Oryctolagus cuniculus: one gene and its partners. The protein of the gene in region 5 interacts with the protein of the main gene of each other region in a biochemical or structural test. Links are inferred from orthologs where the notes say so. Each region holds a gene or a part of one and is shown on either strand. Other genes may lie near its edges.

What was found.
Region 1: the proteins of MAP1LC3A (region 5) and MAVS form a complex in vitro, tested with the Homo sapiens proteins (2 studies listed by BioGRID and IntAct, with this or other methods). The link is inferred for Oryctolagus cuniculus from reciprocal best matches to the Homo sapiens genes MAP1LC3A and MAVS.
Region 2: the proteins of MAP1LC3A (region 5) and PHB2 form a complex in vitro, tested with the Homo sapiens proteins (2 studies listed by BioGRID). The link is inferred for Oryctolagus cuniculus from reciprocal best matches to the Homo sapiens genes MAP1LC3A and PHB2.
Region 3: the proteins of MAP1LC3A (region 5) and NBR1 form a complex in vitro, tested with the Homo sapiens proteins (2 studies listed by BioGRID and IntAct). The link is inferred for Oryctolagus cuniculus from reciprocal best matches to the Homo sapiens genes MAP1LC3A and NBR1.
Region 4: the proteins of MAP1LC3A (region 5) and ATG7 form a complex in vitro, tested with the Homo sapiens proteins (2 studies listed by BioGRID, with this or other methods). The link is inferred for Oryctolagus cuniculus from reciprocal best matches to the Homo sapiens genes MAP1LC3A and ATG7.

The regions. Positions count from the first base shown.
Region 1 is NC_091442.1:29,184,739-29,188,761, reverse strand, and holds part of MAVS (mitochondrial antiviral-signaling protein), read right to left. Parts: intron 2,835-4,023; coding exon 2,653-2,834; intron 2,025-2,652; coding exon 1,865-2,024; intron 250-1,864; coding exon 1-249.
Region 2 is NC_091440.1:102,571,285-102,575,744, reverse strand, and holds the start of PHB2 (prohibitin-2), read right to left. Parts: upstream 2,938-4,460; 5' UTR 2,760-2,937; coding exon 2,633-2,759; intron 2,485-2,632; coding exon 2,400-2,484; intron 2,132-2,399; coding exon 2,052-2,131; intron 1,256-2,051; coding exon 1,071-1,255; intron 550-1,070; coding exon 420-549; intron 304-419; coding exon 200-303; exon of another isoform or gene 164-199; intron 159-163; exon of another isoform or gene 1-158. Other genes in the region: EMG1 (ribosomal RNA small subunit methyltransferase NEP1), read left to right, coding at 3,146-3,313.
Region 3 is NC_091448.1:19,834,073-19,838,768, forward strand, and holds the start of NBR1 (next to BRCA1 gene 1 protein), read right to left. Parts: upstream 3,297-4,696; 5' UTR 2,838-3,296; exon of another isoform or gene 2,787-2,837; intron 2,513-2,786; exon of another isoform or gene 2,426-2,512; intron 1,958-2,425; exon of another isoform or gene 1,806-1,957; intron 1,345-1,805; exon of another isoform or gene 1,181-1,344; intron 1-1,180. UniProt on the Homo sapiens protein: Ubiquitin-binding autophagy adapter that participates in different processes including host defense or intracellular homeostasis.
Region 4 is NC_091441.1:115,796,521-115,800,543, forward strand, and holds part of ATG7 (ubiquitin-like modifier-activating enzyme ATG7), read right to left. Parts: intron 1,012-4,023; coding exon 895-1,011; intron 1-894. UniProt on the Homo sapiens protein: E1-like activating enzyme involved in the 2 ubiquitin-like systems required for cytoplasm to vacuole transport (Cvt) and autophagy.
Region 5 is NC_091442.1:23,538,245-23,542,812, reverse strand, and holds MAP1LC3A (microtubule-associated proteins 1A/1B light chain 3A), read left to right. Parts: upstream 1-1,493; 5' UTR 1,494-3,082; coding exon 3,083-3,122; intron 3,123-3,433; coding exon 3,434-3,489; intron 3,490-3,566; coding exon 3,567-3,673; intron 3,674-3,889; coding exon 3,890-4,052; 3' UTR 4,053-4,059; exon of another isoform or gene 4,060-4,315; 3' UTR 4,316-4,473; downstream 4,474-4,568. UniProt on the Homo sapiens protein: Ubiquitin-like modifier involved in formation of autophagosomal vacuoles (autophagosomes). While LC3s are involved in elongation of the phagophore membrane, the GABARAP/GATE-16 subfamily is essential for a later stage in autophagosome maturation.

The DNA of each region.
Region 1 (4,023 bases), about 5.6 Mb from region 5:
CCCTGGAGGATGCTGCACTGGGGGGCACAGAGCTGGTGGGCACTGTGTCGCTGGAGCATACGGTGGCCTTTGCCTGGACACCAGCACCCTGTCCAGCAGCCAAGCCAGGGGGTGAGGAGGTGCCAGCGGATGAAACTGACGTGGCGGGTCCGGGCAAGCGGCTCGCCCTGGGAGTGGAACGGGCCAGAGGCTGGAAGGAGACGGACGGAGACACAGGTCCGCAGGGTGGCGCGGGGCTGGAGCCGGAGCCTGCAGGTGGCAAAGCAAAAGTGGAAACACAAACCCAAGGAACTGTTATCCCAAGGGCTGCAAAAGGGCCCCCTGCCCGAGCTCAGCATGCCTTCTGCAGCTGCAGGCCTTATGGTTGCAGCCACTGGCCTGAGTCCCAACAGCTGCCCTGCCCTTGACCTGTAGCCCCAGGTCTGCCCTGTCACAGGCATTAACTGTCCTTCCTCCTGGCAAGACCCAGGAGCCGCAAGGTTATCGTGAATTCTTCTCCCGCCCAGGACACCCCCTCTCACCTGCACCTGCTTTTCCCACCTTCTCCCTAGCCAGGTGGGACCTGGGACGCCCCTAGCACTGATGTCCCCCCGCCCCCAGGGCACATCCCAGTGGGACGATCCTGCATCAGGCCAGGGAGAGCAGGACGGCTCAGGCTGAAGTGGCACCAGAAGCTACCAGCCCCCAGGGGCCAGAAGATGTGGGGGCAGGGACAAAGTGCCCCAAGAGGAAGCGCAGTTTTATCAGGATCCTCCGTGGGATGCCGGGAACACACATGCCAGGCCCCAGGGCTGACAATCGGGTGATTCTTCTGTTTTTTAATTTTTATTTACTTGAAAGGTAGACAGAGACCTCGCATCCTCTGGTTCACTCCCCAAGTGCCCACTATGGCTGAGGCTGGCTAGGCCAGGCCAAAGCCAGACCTAAGAACTCCACTTAGGTTTCCCATGTGGGTGCAGGAACCCAGTTACTTGAGCCATCAGAGCTGCCTCCCAGGATCCGCACGCACAGGAAGCTGGCGTCGGAATCTGGAACCAGGACTCTAACCCAGGTACCCGGATGTGGGACACAGATGTCCTGTCAGGACAAACGTCTCCCTGGGGTGACTCCACTGGGCCTTCCTCCCAACAACAGTGGCACAGACTCTCTGGGGACACATGACCACAAATGTCCTAAAACCCAAGTGCATTTCCACCTCCACCCCAGACCCCACGGCACCTCCTGAAAGGCATCCCGGGAAAGCTGACATGGCAAAGTGCAAGGCAGGTGCTGTGAACAGGTTGGGGGTAGCTGCAGGAGGGGGCACTAAGCTGGCATCTCCCAGCCTTTAGCTGCTCGGTGCCTCCCAGGGGCCCTGAGAGCTGGCCAGGCACCAGCATCCCGTGGAACACACTCTGGGAGGCAGTGGAGAGGTGTGGGCCTGGGAGGTCGCGGCGGACGGCTCCACGTTCCTGAGGGGCAGCACTGAGGTCTGGCGTGGGGCCAGGCCCCAGCTGATGATTTGCTGGGAACTGACAACACTTACGGGGTAGGGCAGTGTCCAAGTGAGCTCTGCTGCCAACAGTCGGCCCAGCCCTGGCCATCCCACCCTTTGACAGGGGGCAGAAATGGACCTAATTCTCTTCCCCCACCTGGGCAGCAATGTACTGCAACATCTGCCCAGCCAGTGACCATGCCCCCAGCCAGCGACCACATCCTAGCCAGTGACCACGTCCCCATCCACTGGCTAAGGAGCCTCTGCTCCCTTTATTCCCACTTTGTCTCTGGTCCAGGAGGACAGAGGAGTCATTCTGACCCTGACGCTGACCCTCTCACCCTCTCGGGGAGGCCAGTGAGACCTTGTAACGCCACATTCCATGCATACCTGCTGTGTGGATGCTGGCCAAGTCTGTGTCCTGCTCCTGAGGCCTGCTGGGGCTTGGAGGGCCGAGGGCTGCTGGGTCAGAGGAGGAGGGCTCCAGGGGAACGCTGGGTGTCCTCAGGAGGACCCCAGAGCTGGGTGTGTGTGGCGTTTGCTCTGAACCCTGAAAGAGGGAAAATCAGCAGCTGCGTCCCCTGAGAGCTGGCAGAGAGCGCCTCACGCTCCGGGGACCCCCGCTACCGAAGGGCTCAGCCACCGCACAGAGCCCGGGAGCCAAGGAGACGCAGCCGGACCCCGTGTCCATGGGCAACCTTGCCTTGACCTCACAGAAGACACGCATCAACCCAAGGGCAGTCCCTGTCCACCTGTGGCCCCGGGGATGGGTCCCCCTCTCTGCAGCCACGCACAGACCCCTTCTTAGCCTCCAGGTCTCCTGGGTGCCCGCTGCCCACTCCTGACCTCTCAGTAGACACAGTCTTCTCTCCCCTGGACTTGATCTTCCTGGCAATCACTGCAGCTCGCTGTCTGCTCCCTCGTCCCACCCTCCCCATCAGCTGGTCAAGCCCCAGCTTCCTCCCCCAGCTCCGCATCTCATACTGGCCACCGCGGAGCCCTCTGAGCGGTGGCCTCCAAGCCAGCTGGAGGCAGAGGGCTGTGGGCAGCAACACGCTGAAGGCCTGGCCAGCCGCCTGAGGTGGGTCTGAGGCAGCCCCCCTTCTTGTAAGGGCCTGAGAGGGTAGAAGCGGGCAGACAGGAACACAAAAGCAGGTAGGCGGGCGGTGAGGACGCACCTCTCCCAGGGACTTGGGAGGCTGGGTGTCCTGGACAGGCAAGGGGTAACTTGGCTCCTCTCTGTGGCCAGCGTGGGGGATGCTGGGGTTTGCAGCAGGTGCAGAGGCCCCAGGAACCTCGGCAGGAAGTGATGGCGCCTCCTGTGGTGCCCCGCGAGGGGCTCCCGGGTGGGATGCAGCCCCTGGAGGACAAAAATACAGTGATATCAGGAAGGAATGGGGGGCTCCCTGTAATGGAGACACCTGGCAGCTCTTGGGCCCCCAACCCCCTCCATAGTTCAAGGCTGTCCCAATGTAGGGTGCAGTTCTGGGAGGCCACTGGGGGGAGGCAGGAGTAGCAGGCAGAGGGGAGCTGGAGAGGCCAAAGATAGGTAGCAAGGGGGGAGGCGAAGTTGGGGGGGCTGCTACCACTCACAGACCCCTGCCCCGCCCATCCCTGGCCCTGCAGCAGCTGTCCATGCTCAGGGAATCACTGCAAATCTCCACCAATGAAGAAACTCACAAGGAAGGAGGCAGGGACGGAGAAAGAAAAGCCAGTGTGGGGCATCCCGGAGCTGGAAACCTGACTGGGGTCTCCGAGGCTGCCCAGGCCTGAAGTACAAGGAGTCTTAAGACGGACACGGAGGGCCCGTGTTTGCCTCGCAGTTAACACCTGCGCCTGAGTGCCTGCAGTGCCAGCTCCACTCCTGACTCCAGCTCCCTGCTGGCACACACCCTGGGAGGCAGCAGGTGATGGCTCGAGTAATCGGACTCCCACCATAGCATGCACGACTTGGGCTGCAAGTCTAACTTCTAGCTTTGTCCTAGATCAGCCCTAGCTGTTGTGGGCATTTGGTGGGTGAACCAGCAAATGGGAGCTGTGTATGTGTGTGCCTCTCAAAATAAATTAAAAAACCGCCGGCGCCGCGGCTCACTAGGCTAATCCTCCGCCTTGCGGCGCCGGCACACCGAGTTCTAGTTCCGGTCGAGGCGCCGGATTCTGTCCCAGTTGCCCCTCTTCCAGGCCAGCTCTCTGCTGTGGCCAGGGAGTGCAGTGGAGGATGGCCCAAGTGCTTGGGCCCTGCACCCCATGGGAGACCAGGATAAGTACCTGGCTCCTGCCATCGGATCAGCGCGGTGCGCCAGCCGCAGCGCGCCAGCCGCGTCGGCCATTGGAGGGTGAACCAACGGCAAAGGAAGACCTTTCTCTCTGTCTCTCTCTCTCACTGTCCACTCCGCCTGGCAAAATAAATAAATAAATTAATTAATTAAAAAACCTCACAGAAACGCATGTTATGGGAGCCAGCACTGTGGCATAGTGGGTAAAGTCACTGCATCCCATCTGGCCACTGGTTCGAGTCCTGGCTGCTGCTCCACTTCTGATTCAGGTCC
Region 2 (4,460 bases), on a different chromosome or scaffold from region 5:
AGGCAAGGCCACTGCGCTATTGATCTGACCTTACAGTGGGGAGCCAGGCCTCAGGCCCCCCACTAAGATCTCAGATCCCATCTGCAGCCCCCCCACCCCACCCCCGGAGCCCAGGGGCAGAGAGCCGGAGTCGCATTCGCCTTAGTCTCATCAGCCGGCCCACAGGGGAGAGGAGTGGAGCTCTCTGGCAGAAGGATATCATCTTGGCGGCCTCAGCCTCGCCCTCGGCCTGCACAATCTTCTGGCGCTGTTCCTGTTTTGCTTTTTCCACCAAGAACTGGGCCCGCTGGGCCTCTTGCTGGGCTACAGGGTGGGAGAGGCGGAGGGAACAGTCAACAGATGTGAAGGTCAGGGGCCTGATCCAGAGTCCGTTCTTCCACATTCTCAGACGCCCGCGCCCTCCTCCCCTTGCAACTCACCCACTTGCTTGGCTTCCACGGCAGCTGTGTACTCTCGGCTGAAGCTCAGCTCCGTGATGGCCACATCATCCAGGATGAGGCTGAAGTCCTTGGCCCGCTCCGTCAGCTCCCGCCGGATCAACAGGGACACCTGGGGGCAGGGGTGAGGAGGGGAGGGCAGGGCCGGTTTGTGGGAATTGGAGAACTGAAAGGAAGGTTGTGTTGCTATGACCACCTGAACACAGATCACGTAAGTGTGGCCATCAGCTCACCCAGCCTCTCTTGGTTCCTCAACAGAACATCTTCGCATTTGATGGGGTGGGGAGTTGGGGGGGGGGAGGGAGGCACAGCCTCGGAGGTGGGACAGCCACCCCAGGCTAGCAGGTCCTCCAACTGTCTCCGCTACTTAGCTTCCTGTCGGGCCGACCCGTGACACAAGCCCCTGTGCCGAAAGAGGCACCGGAGAAGCCTAGGTTTTCCCTTCGCTCCCTCCCCAAGTGCCCTCGAGCTCTGGTGCTGGTTTTTCTCATTTCTCGCGTGGCCATCAGTTCAGCTTTTAGTGGAAGTGGAACGGCAGCTATGGCCCTTTTCTAAGAAGCTGCCTTTTCAGGACATTTAGTTCTCTGGGTCTAGCAGGGCAATGACACCGCGCAGACGGTGAGGGGGGCCGACCTGGGCTCGCTGCGTGATCAGCTGCGAGGCATTGAATTTGGCCACCACGCTCTTGAGCACCTCGTTGACGATGGACGGCAACACTCGCTCCTCGTAGTCCAGCCCGAGGCGCTGGTACATGCTGGGCAGCTCCTGGGCATTGGGTCGAGACAGCACTCGCAGGGAGATGTTCACCATCTGCAGGTCTGAGAGTGAGGTCAGCAGTGGATGGCCAAGGACGAGTGTCCTTCCCTGAGCCCTTTCTCTTCCTAGGCCCAGAACAATGACACGCAGCCTGCTGCCCCCCTTGGGGAAGGGGTGCAATCAGGCCAACAGGGAACACAGACACAGCATGTGTGCCCACACACGAGGGCATCTGGGGAGCCAAAGGCAGCGCCGACTCCTCTTCTGCCATTGTATTCATGCACCCTCTAATGCAGGCCCTGTCATCTGGCTCTTCTACTAGACAGTGAAATCCTTTACTCCCAGGATTTATCCAATGAAGAATGGACCTGTGCTAAAATCAGTACAGGGCACATTACAGGCTACAGGTATGCTACTCGCCTAAGTGTGTACACATCTGTGTGTGTGTAGGTGGGATGAAAAGGCGGCCAAGCAATCTCAAAGGAAAGGCTTCTAGGAAGAGGAGCAGGTGCAGGAGTGGGGAGAAATTTCTCCAGGACACAGGGTACTCATGGATGAGCTACTGAGTCAAGCAAGAGAGAAAAAAGGCTTTCAAATAAAGCTTTGATCTTGGGAGTAAGACAAAGGCCTGGCAGCGCTCTCCTGAGTTAGTGGAGGGAGGTGCCAAGAATAAAAATATGCAAACACACTGTATCTGGACCGTGTTGGCCCTGGGAGGCAGGTGGTTCTGTTAGAGCTGTTTCTGCAGAGGTGGAACCCAAGGTCATAGGGACCTCCCCAAGGGTCTCTAGTTGGGCTCCCTTATTCAATTTTTAGGGGGTCCAATCTGCCACGTGACTCTCAAGCACCCAGACCTACCTTTGGAGCCTGTGGGGGAGGAGATTTTCCGAGGCCTGGCCCGAATGTCATAGATAATGGGGTACTGAAACCAGGGGATCCTGGCGGGAAGAGACGGGAACAGGTGTTAGGAGACTGCGGCTTCCCAGCATTGCCTGGCTTCCTCTCGCCACGCGGTCTTTGGCCTGCCCCTCCCCGCAGTGACCACAGACAAGGGGCGAACAACAGGTCATGTGTTGATCCAACTTCGGGCAGCACGCGGCTGAGGCGGGGAAAGCGCAGCGCCGACTCCCATTCCAAGTCCGACCACAGCCAGCGGTGGGTCGGCGACTGGGAGCTTCGGGGTCCTTGTGCTCCACCCTCCATTACCTGAAGTGCAGGCCCTCGGCCAGGATGGTGTCCTGCTGCACGCCCCCGATCCGGTTAAAGAAGATGGCCCTGTGCCCGCCTTCCACTGTGGGGAGAGGAGTGAGGGTCAGGCCAGTGCGCTGCTCGGAGAACGTGCTGGGCTGAGGGCGGGGGGAGTGAGGGGCTCGCGGAACGCGGGAGCTGGCGACGCAGGCCGGGGGTCTGGGGTCCGGCTAGCGGTGGAGGTTGCTCACCGGTGAACACCGACTCGCGGACGCCGTAGGCCACGGCGCCGGCCCCCAGCAGCAGTTTCAGCGCCGTGCCCATGCCCCGAGGCCCGGCGGGCAGCCGTCCTGCTAAGTCCTTCAAGTTTTGGGCCATGTCTGGTCCGGAGGCCGGCGGCACCGGAGGTCAGAGCTGGGGCGGCGGCCCGCCTCGACCCCACTCGTTCAGAGATCACACCCACACACGAGGGTTCGAGGCCGTGCTGCTCCCGGGAGAAAGGGCACCGGAAGTGCGCTCCTCTCTAAACCCGCCCCCTGCGCGCAAGGAGGACCCAAACTTCGCGCACAGACGCGCGCACCCGGAAGTCCCGCCCCCTTCTGGAACCCTGCCCTCCCGGGGAGGCGTCGCTAGCGCGAGACGGCAAAGCGTCGCCATTTTCCAGCGCCCACTTTCAAAATGGCAGGCGGAAGGAAGTTTGCCATTTGGACGAACGCGGGGTCCTCAGTTAAGGACGCCGGCGCAATTTCCGGCCCGGTGGCAAGATGGCTGCCCCCAATGGTGAATTCCAGCCTCGTGAGTGGCGCTCTGGGGAGCGGGAAGAGGACTGGGATGCTGCGGCGCCCAAGCGGCCTCGACTCGGGGCAGGAAGCAAGAGCGGAGGCCGCAGGCTCATTGTGGTGCTGGAAGGGGCCAGTCTGGAGACAGTCAAGGTAGTTTGGGAGACGAAGTGGCGAAGTAGGCGTTTTATATGGGCTTTGGGATGACGCCGAGGGGCTCGAAGTGGACGGAGAACGCATGCTTTTGGATGAAGGGGGCCTAGCTGCTGTCTCTTGGCTTGACATCCCGGGTGGACTATTCATTTTCTTTTCCCTTTTTCGAATCCTGTTCCAGCCCGCGTCTCCTTGCCTCTAGTTGCTGTACCAGGCTCCTGTGTTACAAAATCTTTTAAGGGGAGAAGCGTTTCGTTCATGCGTCAGCCCACCTCTTATTCCTAAGGGCTCTGTGTTGCAGTGCGTTAAGGTGCCCACTGTCACCGCCTCTCGGTAGTACGAGCCAGTACTTGTATGTCTTCATTTTTGCTTCTCATCCGTCTCTTCCCATACAGTAAAACCGTCAGCTTCCTGTTATGAAATGCCATCATTCCCTCTGGTTTTCTTACTCTTTTAGAACTTGTTCAAGGAGTAGGCCAGAAGAAATAGCATTGCTTGAGAAGTCTTACCTGAATTTTAATCTTGGTTCTGTCACTGATGCTAAGTGTGATTTTGAGAAGATAAATTCGTCCTCCGTTTGTAAAATGAGGATAATACGTTAACGTAGAACTGTTATGAAAGTCCTTTAATCTAAGGTGAGATGCTTTTGCATCTGTTCTCTCTTAACCACGGTGACACTTTATTAAGCTTGCAGTCTAGGAAACCTGCTTTTTTTTTCTAATGTACTTCATATTTGCAACCTCATTATAGGTTCTCCTCGTCATCTTCAGTAATTGTCTTTCTTTCCAGTGTATTAACTCTGCATATTAATTTTGGCATTTGTCATGTCAGGTATTGCATATAGCGAATTTGCAAATGTACCAAGCATGTCAGTCTCAGCAGAGCAGACGGGTTGAGAATGTGGACCTGCCCTGGGCTGCCTGGTTTAGATCTCTTCCGCCTCCTGGTTGTGTGACGTTAAGCAGACCACTTAACCACTTAGTTTGCGTAGTTCATGAAGATAATAACTGTTATCTACCTTATTGGGTTGTTGGAAGGATTGAAGGAGTTAGTGTGTATAAAGTGTGTAGAATAATGTCTGGCATTTGGTACTGTTTATTCCTGATTATTTATTAAGAAGTTGTAATGGTTATGGTCAGTTTAAAGT
Region 3 (4,696 bases), on a different chromosome or scaffold from region 5:
TAATCTGTAAAATAGATCTAATCTCTTTGCTTTGCCTGTCTCACAATGTTATTGTAAGGATCAGATAAAATCTGTGTGCAAATTCTTTGAAAACATTTTTCAAGTATAGAAATTAATACAATAGGGGCTGGCGCTGTATTGAGGCAGGTTAAAGCCCTGGCATGCAGCACCGGCAACCCTTATGGGCGCCAGTTAGAGTCCTGGCTGCTCCTCTTCTGATCCAGCTCTCTGCTATGGCCTGGGAAGGCCGTGGAAAATGGCCCAAGTCTTGGGCCCCTGCACCCACCTGGGAGACCCGGAAGAACCTCCTGGCTCCGGGCTTTGGATCCGCCCAGCTCAGGCCGTTGTGGCCATTTGGAGAGTGAACAAACGGATAAAAGACCTTTCTTTCTCTCTGACTCTATCTCTCTCTGTAACGCTTTCAAATAAATAAGAAATCTTTAAAAAAAAAAAAGAAGAAGAAATTAATATAATAGGGTACAGGTGTTCTGGTGCAGGTTAAGCCTGCATCCCATATCAAAGTTCTGATTCAGCTCCCTGCTAACATGCCTAGAAAAGCAGTGAATGACAGCCCAAGTACTTGGGTCTCTGCTACCCACATGGGAGACACAGATGGAGTTCTAGGCTCCCAGCTTCAGCCTAGACCAGCCCTGGCCATTGTAGCCATTTCCGGGAGTGAACCAGTGGATGGAAGAGTTTCTCTCTGCAACTCTACCTTTCAAGTAAATAAATAAAATCTTAAAAAAAAAAAAAAAGGACATTACTACAATAAACCAGTCTTCAGGGGTAGCCATTTGGCCTAGCAGTTTACAGTTGCTGGTTATGACACTCACATCCCACACTGAAGTACCTGGATTCAGTTCCAGGCTTTGGCTTCTAATCCAGCTTCCTGCTAATGCAGACTGGGAGGTAAAAGCGATGGCTCAGGTAGTTGGGTACCTGTCACCCATGTAGAAGACCTGGGTTGACGTCCCAGCTCCTGCTTCTACCTAGCTCAGACCCAGCCATTGCAAAGGTTTAGGAATGAACATGTATTTCCCTCAAATAAGTCTTCAGAAGCTTAAAAATACTATTTTTTTTTTCACAGTATAACGAACTACTCTCAAACAATACAACTGAGACTGCCACTTTAAAGACTCTGAAATCTCTGAAGATCGGGATTTCATTTTTATAAACTTACTCAATGATCTCTGCAAATTTTCCCATTCTTTTTCTCCACTTAAATTCACCACAAAGTAATGCCAGACTCGCAGCAATCCTACTGACTTCTAGCAGTCATTCACATGAAATACATCTCTTGGGGTCCTTATGATATGGGTAGAATCCCTGACAATTCCCTGTGACCTTGTGCAAAAAAAAAATCAGAGAAATGAAGTGACTAACTCAGCCTGCCCTAAGTGAATATTCTGAAATATACTTTTAGTTTCCAATGTCAAGAAACACATTCTCATACTTTTGAAAGTCCGGAAGGAAACCAATCTTCCTCCTTCTTGCCCAAATTATCCCATTAGAAATTAGTTCAGATACTTGGCACTCACCCAGCTGGTCTGCCAACGGGGAGCAAACAGGAAGTGGGAGATTCTAGCTTAGCTGGACCACAGCCAGGTCTTCATAAAGAACTGCCTATCTCTTTGGCGTTCATGTGAAAACTCTTTCAAACGAGAGCATAAATCTTGAACTTTGGAAATACTTCAACTCTGGCTCGTTCCGTGGCTCTATAGATGTAGGGCCCGTACAGTCAGGTAGCTGGGGCCCACGCCCTCGGCTTTCATAACTGGTATTATAAGTTCATGTCACTGACTCACCTTAGCTTGGCACAAGTCAGCTTTTCCTCTACGTCGGTTTTTTCTTCTTCTTTTTTTTTTTTTAGCCTCAAAAAAAATCCTTTTAATTAAGCAGACCTGGGACTGCGAGCTTTGATTACTGTCCTATCCGGGCTTTTAGTGTGATATGAAAGCTAGGTGTTTGACAAAAGAGATAAACAGTGCTTTTCCAATACCGAAGTTCCCTAAGGTCTCTGGACGCGGGTCTCAGAAAGGGGACGATGTGATGAGGGGGATGTGTGGGGAGCGTCTTCATCCTGCTCTTCCAGCCCCCCGTCTGCCTCGCACTCCATGTCCCCAACACACTGTCATCGCCCCCTAAGGAGTTACTCCTCTGCCTAGGCCCTCTTTGTACTGGGAGATCCCGACCTCCCGTCGGTACAAGCCAGGCGTTCTGAGCCACGGCCCCTCCATCCCGCCGGCGGCATCGGCTCCCTCGGTCCCTCCGAGCGCGAACGGCTCTCGTCTTGTCACTGAAAAGACTGGCTGCCCCTAGACACGGAAAAAGTCGCCCCTATTTGCAGGGTTCCTCCCCTGAACTTCCCCAAACCCATTCAGTGTGACGTGACCCCACTCCTAGGTAACCGCAGCAGCTTGCTTACCAGCTTCCCGCCCCCGGGGGGCGCCTGCCGGAGGCCAGTGCAAAGACCGTTCGCTGCCAGCTCTGCTGCTCTCCCTGCGGGCAGAATCTAACATGGCGGAGAGAGACAGGGCCTAGTCCCCTGTTTCCTCCGAGTTTCCGACAAGATGATTGGCTCTTACCCTTGTCCCTCAAAACGACCACCCCCCCATTGATTGGTTGAGACTGCCCTGGCGGGGGCGGGGAAGACACAACCTGACCCTCACAACAACAACAAACACCGGGGCCGAGGGGCGGAACTACGAATGCGCAGTCCGAGGCTGGGGCGGGTTACCCCTCCCCAAGCAAACTCCGCGTCCTCCGCCTTCCCTCAGGTCGCTGACCTTAGTGGACACGCGAGGCCTGACGGGAATTGTAGTCTTCCTGGAACTTACAGGTTCTTTAGCGTCCGCTCTTAAGATATAAACACCTAACAGCACTCCAGTCCATAGCTGTCGACGTGCATAACCGCGCGGATGGCTCCAGTCTTTCAACTACGTGTCGCGAGGATCGTGCCCGTTTCCAGAGTCGGGAGCTCTTCTCCATAAGACTACAGTTTCCAAGGAACACTGTGGCGAAGGCCTTTCGTTACGCAATGCATGCTGGAGATCGTAGTTTCTTTCCCCCGACAATCTTTTTATTTACCTAAACGGGGCACGTCCATTGCGGCGGAAAGGGTGAGGGGATGGGCTCTCTTCTTGCGACTGCTGTGAGCACTACCTTGCGCTCATATTCAGGCCTCAGGTAGTGATTCCAACCCTTGTCCAGCAATTACTGTGACGTAATAAGCTGTAACCAGAAGCGTAGAGGCGAGGGGGCGGCCACCTAATAGAAAACTCAGAAGTCTTTCTCCCGTCGCTTTCTAATTACGTCATGCGGGGGTGGGGTGGGGCAAGAGAGGATGGCCAATCCGGAGCTGGGAGGCTCCTGCTCCGCCCTTCCGCTGACGTCCTTTAATCTCGCAAGCTGAGAGGCTATAGCTCCGCGGGAGCGGCGGGTTTCCATGGCGACCGAAAGCGCGGGAATTACAGATAAATTGAAACTGAGACTGCGCGTCGTGAGTTTTCTGCGGCTTTCTGGACCGATTACAGTCGGGGGGCGGTTTCTCAGATAACTGGGCCCTAGGGCCCGGAAAGCCCGGACTCCGATCTGGTTAAAGGTGAGAGAGTCCCTAGGAAATGAAGAGGGAGCCAGGAGGTGGTCAGTTGAGAAACAAACAGCTGTGAGAAGAGTGGTCTCCCGAAGGAGAGCGAGATGGGCATTCCTCGGGCCGGAGGGTGTGGGGGTGAAATCTGAAGGGCCTACGGGCTGTGTGGCTCTGAGATGAATCCTGGGGAGGGGGGCAGTTTGAGTCACCAGGCGGGCACCGAGGATAAGGACAGGCCACGGTGTGTCCGAGGGAATCCGGGTGACCGGATGTGCAGGGGACACCTTGAGCGTAAGAATGCCAGAGGCAGGGACCTGGAAGAAGGCCCAGGATTGTCGGGGAAGAGGAGGAGACAGGATTTTGTGTGAGACAGAACCCTCTGGAATTGGATCCGTAGGCACTTTGGGGAGGGGACGGGAGAGATGTATGCTCCGGGTGCGTTGGTGCTGGAGCAGGTCTGTGGGACGCTCTGGGGAAAGGCAGGGGTGGCGAGTGTTCCTGGTGTAGGTTTTGCTGTGATTGGTGGCAGTGCCTTTGGTTTTAATCAAGAAAATGAAAAAGAAAGAAAAAAGCCAGCCTGGATGGCTGGAGAAAGCTGAGGCTGTCACCACTCACCCCATTGGAAACCTATATGTAAACTGTAGAGAATTCAAACCGTCTAATTACACAAGGCTTCGTGCAGAATTTTTTTTTTTTTTTTTTTTTTTTTTTTTTTTTTTGACAGGCAGAGTGGACAGTGAGAGAGAGAGACAGAGAGAAAGGTCTTCCTTTTGCCGTTGGTTCACCCTCCAATGGCCGCCGCGGCCGGCGCGCTGCGGCCGGCGCACCGCACCGATCCGATGGCAGGAGCCAGGAGCCAGGTGCTTTTCCTGGTCTCCCATGGGGTGCAGGGCCCAAGCACCTGGGCCATCCTCCACTGCACTCCCTGGCCACAGCAGAGGGCTGGCCTGGAAGAGGGGCAACCGGGACAGAATCCGGCGCCCCGACCGGGACTAGAACCCGGTGTGCCGGCGCCGCTAGGCGGAGGATTAGCCTAGTGAGCCGCGGCGCCGGCCCGTGCAGAATTTTAAAAAATAATGCCTTTTGTCATTAGCTCTATGGGTTGGT
Region 4 (4,023 bases), on a different chromosome or scaffold from region 5:
ACAGGGGCCCCGGGCTTCAGCACTCAGCGTTGTAGTGATGCAGTCGTGGTGACGCTCAATCCTCGCCTGAACAGCTGTCGGAACGCTCGGGCTCGGGGTCTCAGCTCCGCAGCCTGATCGTGCCAGCTGCTCCTCTCCCATCACCTCCGAGGACCTCACCCTCCTTCCCAGTGAGATGGCACCCACTGGCTGTGCACGTGCCACTCCTGAGGGGGCAGTCCTGCCGCCGTGCACGAGGGCAGAGGGCAGAGGGCTGTGTGATTTCAGACGCTCTTCCCGCAGAACGATGCCTTAGGTTTCCCTCCACTCAGTGTGAAGACTCTGTTTTGGTAGATTCTTGCAGTCTTTCAAAGTGTCCCTGTAACCCTCCTTGCTGGCTTAGCATCTCACCAAACACCATGGAAACCTGGAAAACTCCTGCTGACTGCATCTGCAAAATGACCCTGTGAACATTCTGTCAAGAAGTCTGTTCCCGGGCCAGCACTGTACCATAGTGCGTAAGGCCACTGCCTGTGACGCTGGCATCCCATATGGCAGCCAGTGCGCGATCCAGCTCCCTGGGAAGGCAGTGGAAGATGGCCCAAGTACCTGGGCCCCTGCACCCACTTGGGAAACCTGAAAGGAGCTCTGGGCTCCTGGTTTCAGCCTGGCACAGCTCTGGCTATTATGACCATTTGGGGAGTGAACCAGCAGATGGAAGACCTCTGTCTCTCTCTCTATCTTGGTAACTCTGTCTTCCAAACAAGAAAAGAAAAAAGAAGCCTGCTCCCAGTGCCAGCTTCGGAGGCTTCCAGAGTTAGCACCTCCTTGTCCAGAGCAGTGCCCGTCTGTCCAGATACCAACATTTGCACACTGAAGCCAATGTTACCAGTACTTTGTTTTATGTGCTGATACCTGTTTTGGTGAAAACCTCTGATCCAAACTCACTGGCCCCTGAATGAGAGGTATACTCTCTGGAAGACAGAGGGCGGGATAGCAAAACCAGTAGTAGAAGTGGTACTTCTTTAGATCCTAGAATAAAAGACATAACACACGGTATTAGTGCAGCACCAAACATCAAATGGAAACACATGTATTCATGTAATTTCTCACAGCTAATGAAGAGAGGAAAGCATGGTTGACTTGCCATATTCTCATCTCAAACACAACCCAGCACCCAGAGCTTCTGATTTCTGAGTACTTTCACCTATCACACGCTAAAAATATAACGATGAACACAATTTGCTTTACGCACCACGTGTGTATCAGTTCACAAAACCACGCTGGGAGGTCACTGCTGTCACCCCATTATACAGACAGAAAACTGAAGCTCCGTAACAGACACTTGAACAACAATGGAAAAGACAGCAAGTGGCAGAATGAGGATCAGAACTTGGCTCCTGGACCCTCAGCTTCTTCCTCACTGAACCATGCACACCCAGTGCACCACGTGAGCAGGCATGGCCTCCACACGGCTACCATTCTCTAATACTTTACACACGTTACGAAGGAAGCCATGCTGCTCACGTACAGCTGCCTTGTGGATCCATGGGTCTTGCAGTTACGAAGTTAATCACGGATTGACAATATTAATTAAAATAAAAACTGCACCTGTGGTAACGTGCAGATGTTTTTATCTTGTGGGGTAACCACCGTGTATGCAGCACTGAAGGATGTGTGTAAGTCATGCAATGATGACACCATTTTACATCAGGACTGGAGCACGGTTGATTCTGGTATCCATGGGGGCTCCTGGAACCAGTTTCTGGGATACTGAGGATGACTGTACCTATGCATGCCTGCGATAATGAAATTTTGATTTCTGACACGTCTTACTGGTGAAACTCAACAATTAAGCACCTGTTGTATACAAAGCAAACATGAGCCTCTCTAAAAATAAGATGAATGAACTCTGGAATCAGCCACCCTCCTCGAGGCGTGGAGATCCCGCGAGTGCAGGAGTCACTGGAAGCCCCACAGGCGGCTCTAAGGCCTATGGAGCCAGGATGCCAGAAGAGTTCTACCACCACGGCTACTTCTGACCACTCCCCAGCCAGGGGAAGTGGCCTGGCGAAGGGACTCGGGGGCTGTCTTCCAGGCAGAGGCCTCCTGTGGGCCCAAGTCACCCATGAGGTGGATCCCAGAGTCACATGGCTATGACCAGGCAGCCTTCTCCCACGGACTCTGCCATGCTTGACCACCAATGCAATCTGACTAATTAATATTTTGGGGGCCGGTGCTGTGGCACAGTGAATTAAACCAGCATTTGCAGTGCCGGCATTCCATATGGGCACTAGTTTGAGTCCAGGGTACTCTGCTTCCCATCCAGCTCCCTGCTAATGCACCTGGGAAAGCAGCAGAGGATGGCCCAAGTCCTTTGGCCCCCATACCCATATGGGAACCCTGGAAGAAGCTCACAGTTCCTGACCAGCCCAGCTCGGGCCATGGCAGCCATTTGGGGAGTGAACCAGCGGATGAGAAATTCTCTGCCTCTCCTCCCTCTCTCTGTAATTCTTTCAAATAAACAAAAAAATCTTAAAAAACAAATATTTTCCACTGAAACCTGGATGCTTAAAATTTACGATGTTAAAGTATATAGTTTAGTGGGCCTTTCTTTTAGTATACCTGGATGCTTGTGCCACCATCAGCTACTAGTCCCAAAACACTTTGAATACCCCCAACACCCCCCATACCTACCAAAAGAAACTCCCTTCTCTCTCCTCCCCTTCTCCCCCGGCAACCACTCTTCCCATAAATGGAATCATACTTGATGACTTTTTTTTTTTTTTTGACAGGCAGAGTTAGACAGTGAGAGAGAGATAGAGAAAGGTCTTCCTTCCATTGGTTCACCCCACAAATGGCTGCTACAGCCGGCGCGCTGCGCCAGTCTGAAGCCAGGAGCCAGGTGCCTCCTCCTGGTCTCCCTATGCAGGTGCAGGGCTCAACCACTTGAGCCATCCTCCACTCCCTTCCCGGGCTACAGCAGAGAGCTGGACTGGAAGAGGAGCAACTGGGACATCCGACGCCCCAATCAGGACTAGAAACCAGTGTGCTGGCGCCGCAGGCGGAGGATCAGCCTAGTGAGCCGCGTGCCAGCCACTTGGTAACTTTTTAAATATACACTTATATATTTAAGTATGTATCCAGATGAGGAAGTTGAGTAACCACAGTTTCTGCAGTCTAATTCTGCCACTGGTTGATCAGTTAAGGTAAAACTCCCATTTCACAAGGGCAAAACAAACAGCAAGACTGAAATGAATGACATATCTGGTCCTTTCAGTCCTAAAAACAGCAGAAAGGAAGCAAAATCATCCCCACAGATTACTCTTTGTACTTAAGTGACTCGTCCTCGCCCGTCTTAGTAAAAGGTTAAACAATTCAAGATGAAGGACCTCACACAGTCTGAGAAGCTTGCTTTATCGGGTCATCTTCAGAAGTCAAAAGGCTTGAATTTCTTGGGATTCTTTTCACATTACAAAGAACTTTGTCTAAATTAAACATAAAGCTCTTTGTGTCTGAAGATTTGAAAAGATAGAAACCTTTAATATTTTCAAAGGGGCAAGTGTTTAGCATGGTGGTCAGGATGCCAGCAGGGCACCTGGGTTTGAGCCCTGGCTCTGGCACTTTACCCCAGCTTCCTGCTAATGCACGGTAGGACGGCAGTGACAACGGCTCGGGGTCATGGATCCCTGCCACCCATGTGAGTTCTCAGCACCTGGCATCTGTCAGTCTGACCCAATCCCGGCCATTACGAGCACTTGGGGAATGCACCAGCAGACTGGAGCTCTTTCTATCTCTCACATAAATAGACAGAAACACACACACACACACACACACACATTATTACTAGGAAGACAACATTCAGGAGATACAGTGGGGAAGAAGGAAGGGTGAAACTTACAACTTGGAAAAAACAAAAAAGCAGAGTGGGAAAGAAGACAACCAAAGCTGAAGAAGCTGTGGTGAAACCAGTTACCAGGTGGCAACATTAACACTCACAGGCCCGCCCCACAGAACTTACTCTGAAGAATTGAAATAAAGAGG
Region 5 (4,568 bases):
AGAACCCGGTGTGCCGGCACCGCAAGGCGGAGGATTAGCCTAGTGAGCTGCGGCACTGGCTTATGTTTGTTTTGATCTAAATATTTTTTTACTTCTAAATGATTTCACCTTTAGAGTTACAAGGAGGTTTAAGTTTCCAAACATTTGGAGTGTCTTTGGCTCTTGCCTGTGGTCGAAGAATACGGCCTGTGTGAGATTCACTATTTGCTATCCGTTAATGAGATTTGTTTTGGTCACTTTTTGTAGATGTCTCTTATATGATTCAAAGAACCATGCTGCGATAAAGGTCCTTTCAGCATCTCTGACCAGCATTAGTCATTGTATTAATATCTTCTAAATCCTTTGGGCGTTCAGTTTATTGGTTACTGTAAGAGGTATTTAAAGATTTATTTATTTATTTGAAAGTCAGAGTTACACATCTTCCATTTGCTGGTTCACTCCACAAATGGCTGCAATGGCAGGGCCTGGGCCAGGCTGAAGCCAGGAGCCAGGACCTCCTTCAAGGTCTCCCACATGGGTGCAGGGGTCCCAGGTCATTAGCAGGGAGCTGGATAGGAAGTAGAGCAGCCAGGACTCAAGCTGTGCCCATACAGTATGCCTGGGCTGCAGGCAGTGGCTTAACCCACAATGCCACAGTGCCAGCCCCGTGAAAGAGGTCTTAAAACTCTGCCTACAGGGGCCAGTGTGTGTCATAGCAGGTTAAGCCACCACCACCTACAACACCAGCATCCCACAGAGGTACTGGTTGTTGTCCCAGCTGCTCCATTTCCAATCCGTTTCCCTGCTAATGTGCCTGAAAAAGCAGCAAAAGATGGCTCAAGTGCTTGGCTCCTGCACCCTCATGGGAGACCCAGAAGAAGCTCCTGGCTTCAGCCCAGCCTAGCCCCAGCCACTGCAGCCACTGGGGGAGTGAATCAACAGATGGAAGATCTCTCTCCTATAACTCTGCCTTTCAAATAAACAAATCGCAAAACAACTCCCACTGCAATGGCAGAATTGGCAGTTCCTCCTATTAGTCTGTCATTTTTTTAAAAAAATATTTTATTTATTTATTTATTTTAGAGGTAGAGATTCAGACATTGAGAGGGAGAGACAGAGAGAAAGGTCTTCCATCTGCTGGTTCACTCACTCCCCCAGTGGGTGCAACAGTCAGGAGCCAGGACCTTCATCCAGGTCTCCCACTTGGGTGCAGGGGCCCAAGCACTTGGGCCATTTCTACTGCTTTCCCAAGCTTACTAGCAGGGAGCTGGACTGGAAGTGGGGCAGCCAGGACCTGACCAGGTGTCCATATAGAAAGCCAGCACCGCAGGCCAGGGCTTTACCCACTGTGCCACAACATGGACCCCCCATCTCCCAAACTCTTGAAATCACAGCTTATCAGTATTTTTCCTTTAGAGGTTAGAAGGTACTATTACATCTTTCTCAACTTTGTACACTTAGTGCCGAGAAGTTGGCTGTTGGCATAACGTTTTAAAGTGAATCCATCCTGGCCGGCGCCGCGGCTCACTAGGCTAATCCTCCACCTGCGGCGCCGGAACACCGGGTTCTAGTCCCGGTCGGGGCGCCGGATTCTGTCCCGGTTGCCCCTCTTCCAGGCCAGTTCTCTGCTGTGGCCAGGGAGTGCAGTGGAGGATGGCCCAAGTGCTTGGGCCCTGCACCCCATGGGAGACCAGGAGAAGCACCTGGCTCCTGCCTTCGGTGCCACGGTGGCCATTGGAGGGTGAACCAACGGCAAAGGAAAATCTTTCTCTCTGTCTCTCTCACTGTCCACTCTGCCTGTCAAAAAATAAAGAAAGAAGTGAATCCATCCTTTTGTGGTAGCTTTTAAGATCCAGCTTTTGGAGTTCTGAAATTCACTGCAAAGCTGTCTCGGTGCTGACTTTTTAGCTCGGCTTGCTCCAGGGTAGTCCCCCCCTCCCCCCCGATTTATTTATTTATTTGAAAGGCGGAGAGAAGAGGAGAGGGAGGGAAAAGAGAGGGGAGAGAGGGGAAGAGAAAAAGAAAGAAAAGTCTTCCATCCGCTGGTTCACTCCCCAGATGGCTGCAACGGCCAGAGCTGTGCCTATCTGAAGCCAGGAGCCAGGAGCTTCTTCCGGGTCTCCCACGTGGGTGCAGGGGCCCAAGGACTTGGGCCATCTTCCACTGCTTTCCCAGGCCATAGCAGAGAGCTGGATCAGAAGAGCAGCAGCCGGGACATGAACCAGGGCCCATATGGGATGGCGGCACTGCAGGAGGCAGCTTTATGCGCTGGCCCCCGGTCCAGGTTTTCCGTGGGAGCCGTGGTCTTGAGCAGCGTAGGGGGACCCGCCCCTGCTCTCCGCTGCCCTGCTCGGCCGGACCTCGGGTGCTCCCTGCCCCTCTGCCACGGGCCCCCGCTGTCCTCCACCACGGCCTCTGGGTGTTCTGGGCCCCCTCCAGCTCCGCGATGTTCTCTTCTGCTGTCTAACCTGCTTCCTTACCTCATCGTCTGAGGCCTGCGTTTGCACGGCTCGGTTTTTGAACTCTAGAATCCTTCCTCAGACCCAGGCATTGCTCCCCGGCGCCGTGCTTTCCTGGCGTTTAACCGCCCCGTCCCCTGAGCCTGGCTGTTCTCCTACCCCAGGCCTCCCGCGGGCCCCGCAGCGCCGAGGGGACGGGCCGTCCAGGGCGCGAGATGCGGGCGAGGCCGCGCCTTCCCTCAGCCGCCTCACTCCCACCTCGGTCTAAACCGGAGAGGAGCCGCGCGGGCCGTGATGTCACCGAACTGTGACGCGCCCCAGCGCACACAGACCCCAGCCCCTCCGCGTCTCTGCAGAGAATCCAGGCCCGCGGCGCCGTGACGTCATGGTCTGGGCGGGCGGCTTTTGCGTCGGGCCAATGGGAGCGACGCGCCGGCCTCCCCTTTAAGGAATGTTGTGACCTGACGTCACCGGAGCGAGTTACCTCCCGCCGCCGCTGCCGCCGCGTTCAGCGCGAGCCCCGGAGCCCTTGAGCGCGAGGCGCGGAGTCCCCGGAGACCCCGGATCACAGTCCCCGGATCACAGTCCCTTCCTCGAGCCGCGCGCCCCGGAGTCCCGGCTGCGCGCCCCACCGGGCCCGCGCGATGCCCTCAGACAGGCCTTTCAAGCAGCGGCGAAGCTTTGGTGAGGCCTGGCGGGCGATCCGGGGACAGGGGGTGGGAGATCCCTGGGGGGCAACCGACCCCCCAGTGCCGCAGGTGACGTCAGCCCCATGACGTCAGGCTCCGGCCTACCGGGTCTGTGAGGCCGCTCTGGCCTGGGCTGGGGCTACCCGCCTCCCCACCGTGTCCCCAGTCTGGGGCCGAGAGGCCGGACGGCTGGGGGCGGGGGCGGGGCGGGGCCGGGAGCCGCCCCTCGGAGACCGGCGGGCGGAGCCGCAGGGAGGACCTCAGGCCGGCCGGTCTCACCGCCCCGCCGCTGTCCGCTGTCCGCAGCCGACCGTTGTAAGGAGGTGCAGCAGATTCGTGACCAGCACCCCAGCAAGATCCCGGTGAGTCCCTCGGCCCCGGCCCGGCCCGGCCCCGCCCCCAGCCCTGGCTCATTTGTGGTCCACCTGCCCGCTCCCAGGTGATCATCGAGCGCTACAAGGGTGAGAAGCAGCTGCCAGTCCTGGACAAAACCAAGTTCCTGGTCCCGGATCACGTCAACATGAGCGAACTGGTTAAAATCATCCGGTGCGCAGGCAGCAGCTGCCCGAGGGGCTTGGGTCGGGTCTCCTGGAGGAGTGGAGTGAGGTCAGGGGCGTAGGCCTGGCCTTGGGCCTGCGTGCTGGGGAGCTGGGAAAAGCCAAGGCCCGAGCTTGAGTCCTTGTGGGGTGGGAGGTGAGGGCCTCTGGCAGGGAGCAGGGCCACCCTCCCTCACCACGGGTTTGCCCTTCCTGCCTGCCCCAGGCGCCGCCTGCAGCTGAACCCCACGCAGGCCTTCTTCCTGCTGGTGAACCAGCACAGCATGGTGAGCGTGTCCACGCCCATCGCCGACATCTACGAGCAGGAGAAAGACGAGGATGGCTTCCTCTACATGGTCTACGCCTCCCAGGAAACCTTCGGCTTCTGAGCCAGCAGTAGGGGGGAATTGGCCTGGGAGTGGGGGACCTGGTCAAGCTCTCCCCAGGGAGCGCCTGGCTCCTGAACTGAGCTGCCCCTGGTGGGCTGGGCAGGCATGTGGGCCCCTAGCCAGAGGGGCCCAAACAGCCCCCTCTGCTCCTCAGTGGATCTTGGGCCAGTCACATTAGGGTTGCCCCTCTGGGTGCTGGTTGGGATGGGGAGGGTGGAGAGCTGCCCCCAGCACCCCTGCTCTGTGTGGTTTGTTTTTTTTAGGCCCCTGCCTGTCTGCCCCTCATCCTCCTGAGGCTCTGTCCCCTGCCTGGACCTGTCCACCCCTGAAAGACTGGCCCCTGGCTCCCCCACCTCCACACGTGTATGGATCTGTGGTCACTGTCCCTCTGCAGAATAAAGATTGCTCAGGCCTGCCTGGCCCTCTGCCTCCAGCTGCTTCTTGGGGCGGGGGGGGGGGGCGGGGGGGGGGCTGCTGGTGCTGTCCTACAGCATGCTAGCCTGCCAGCACAGGCTG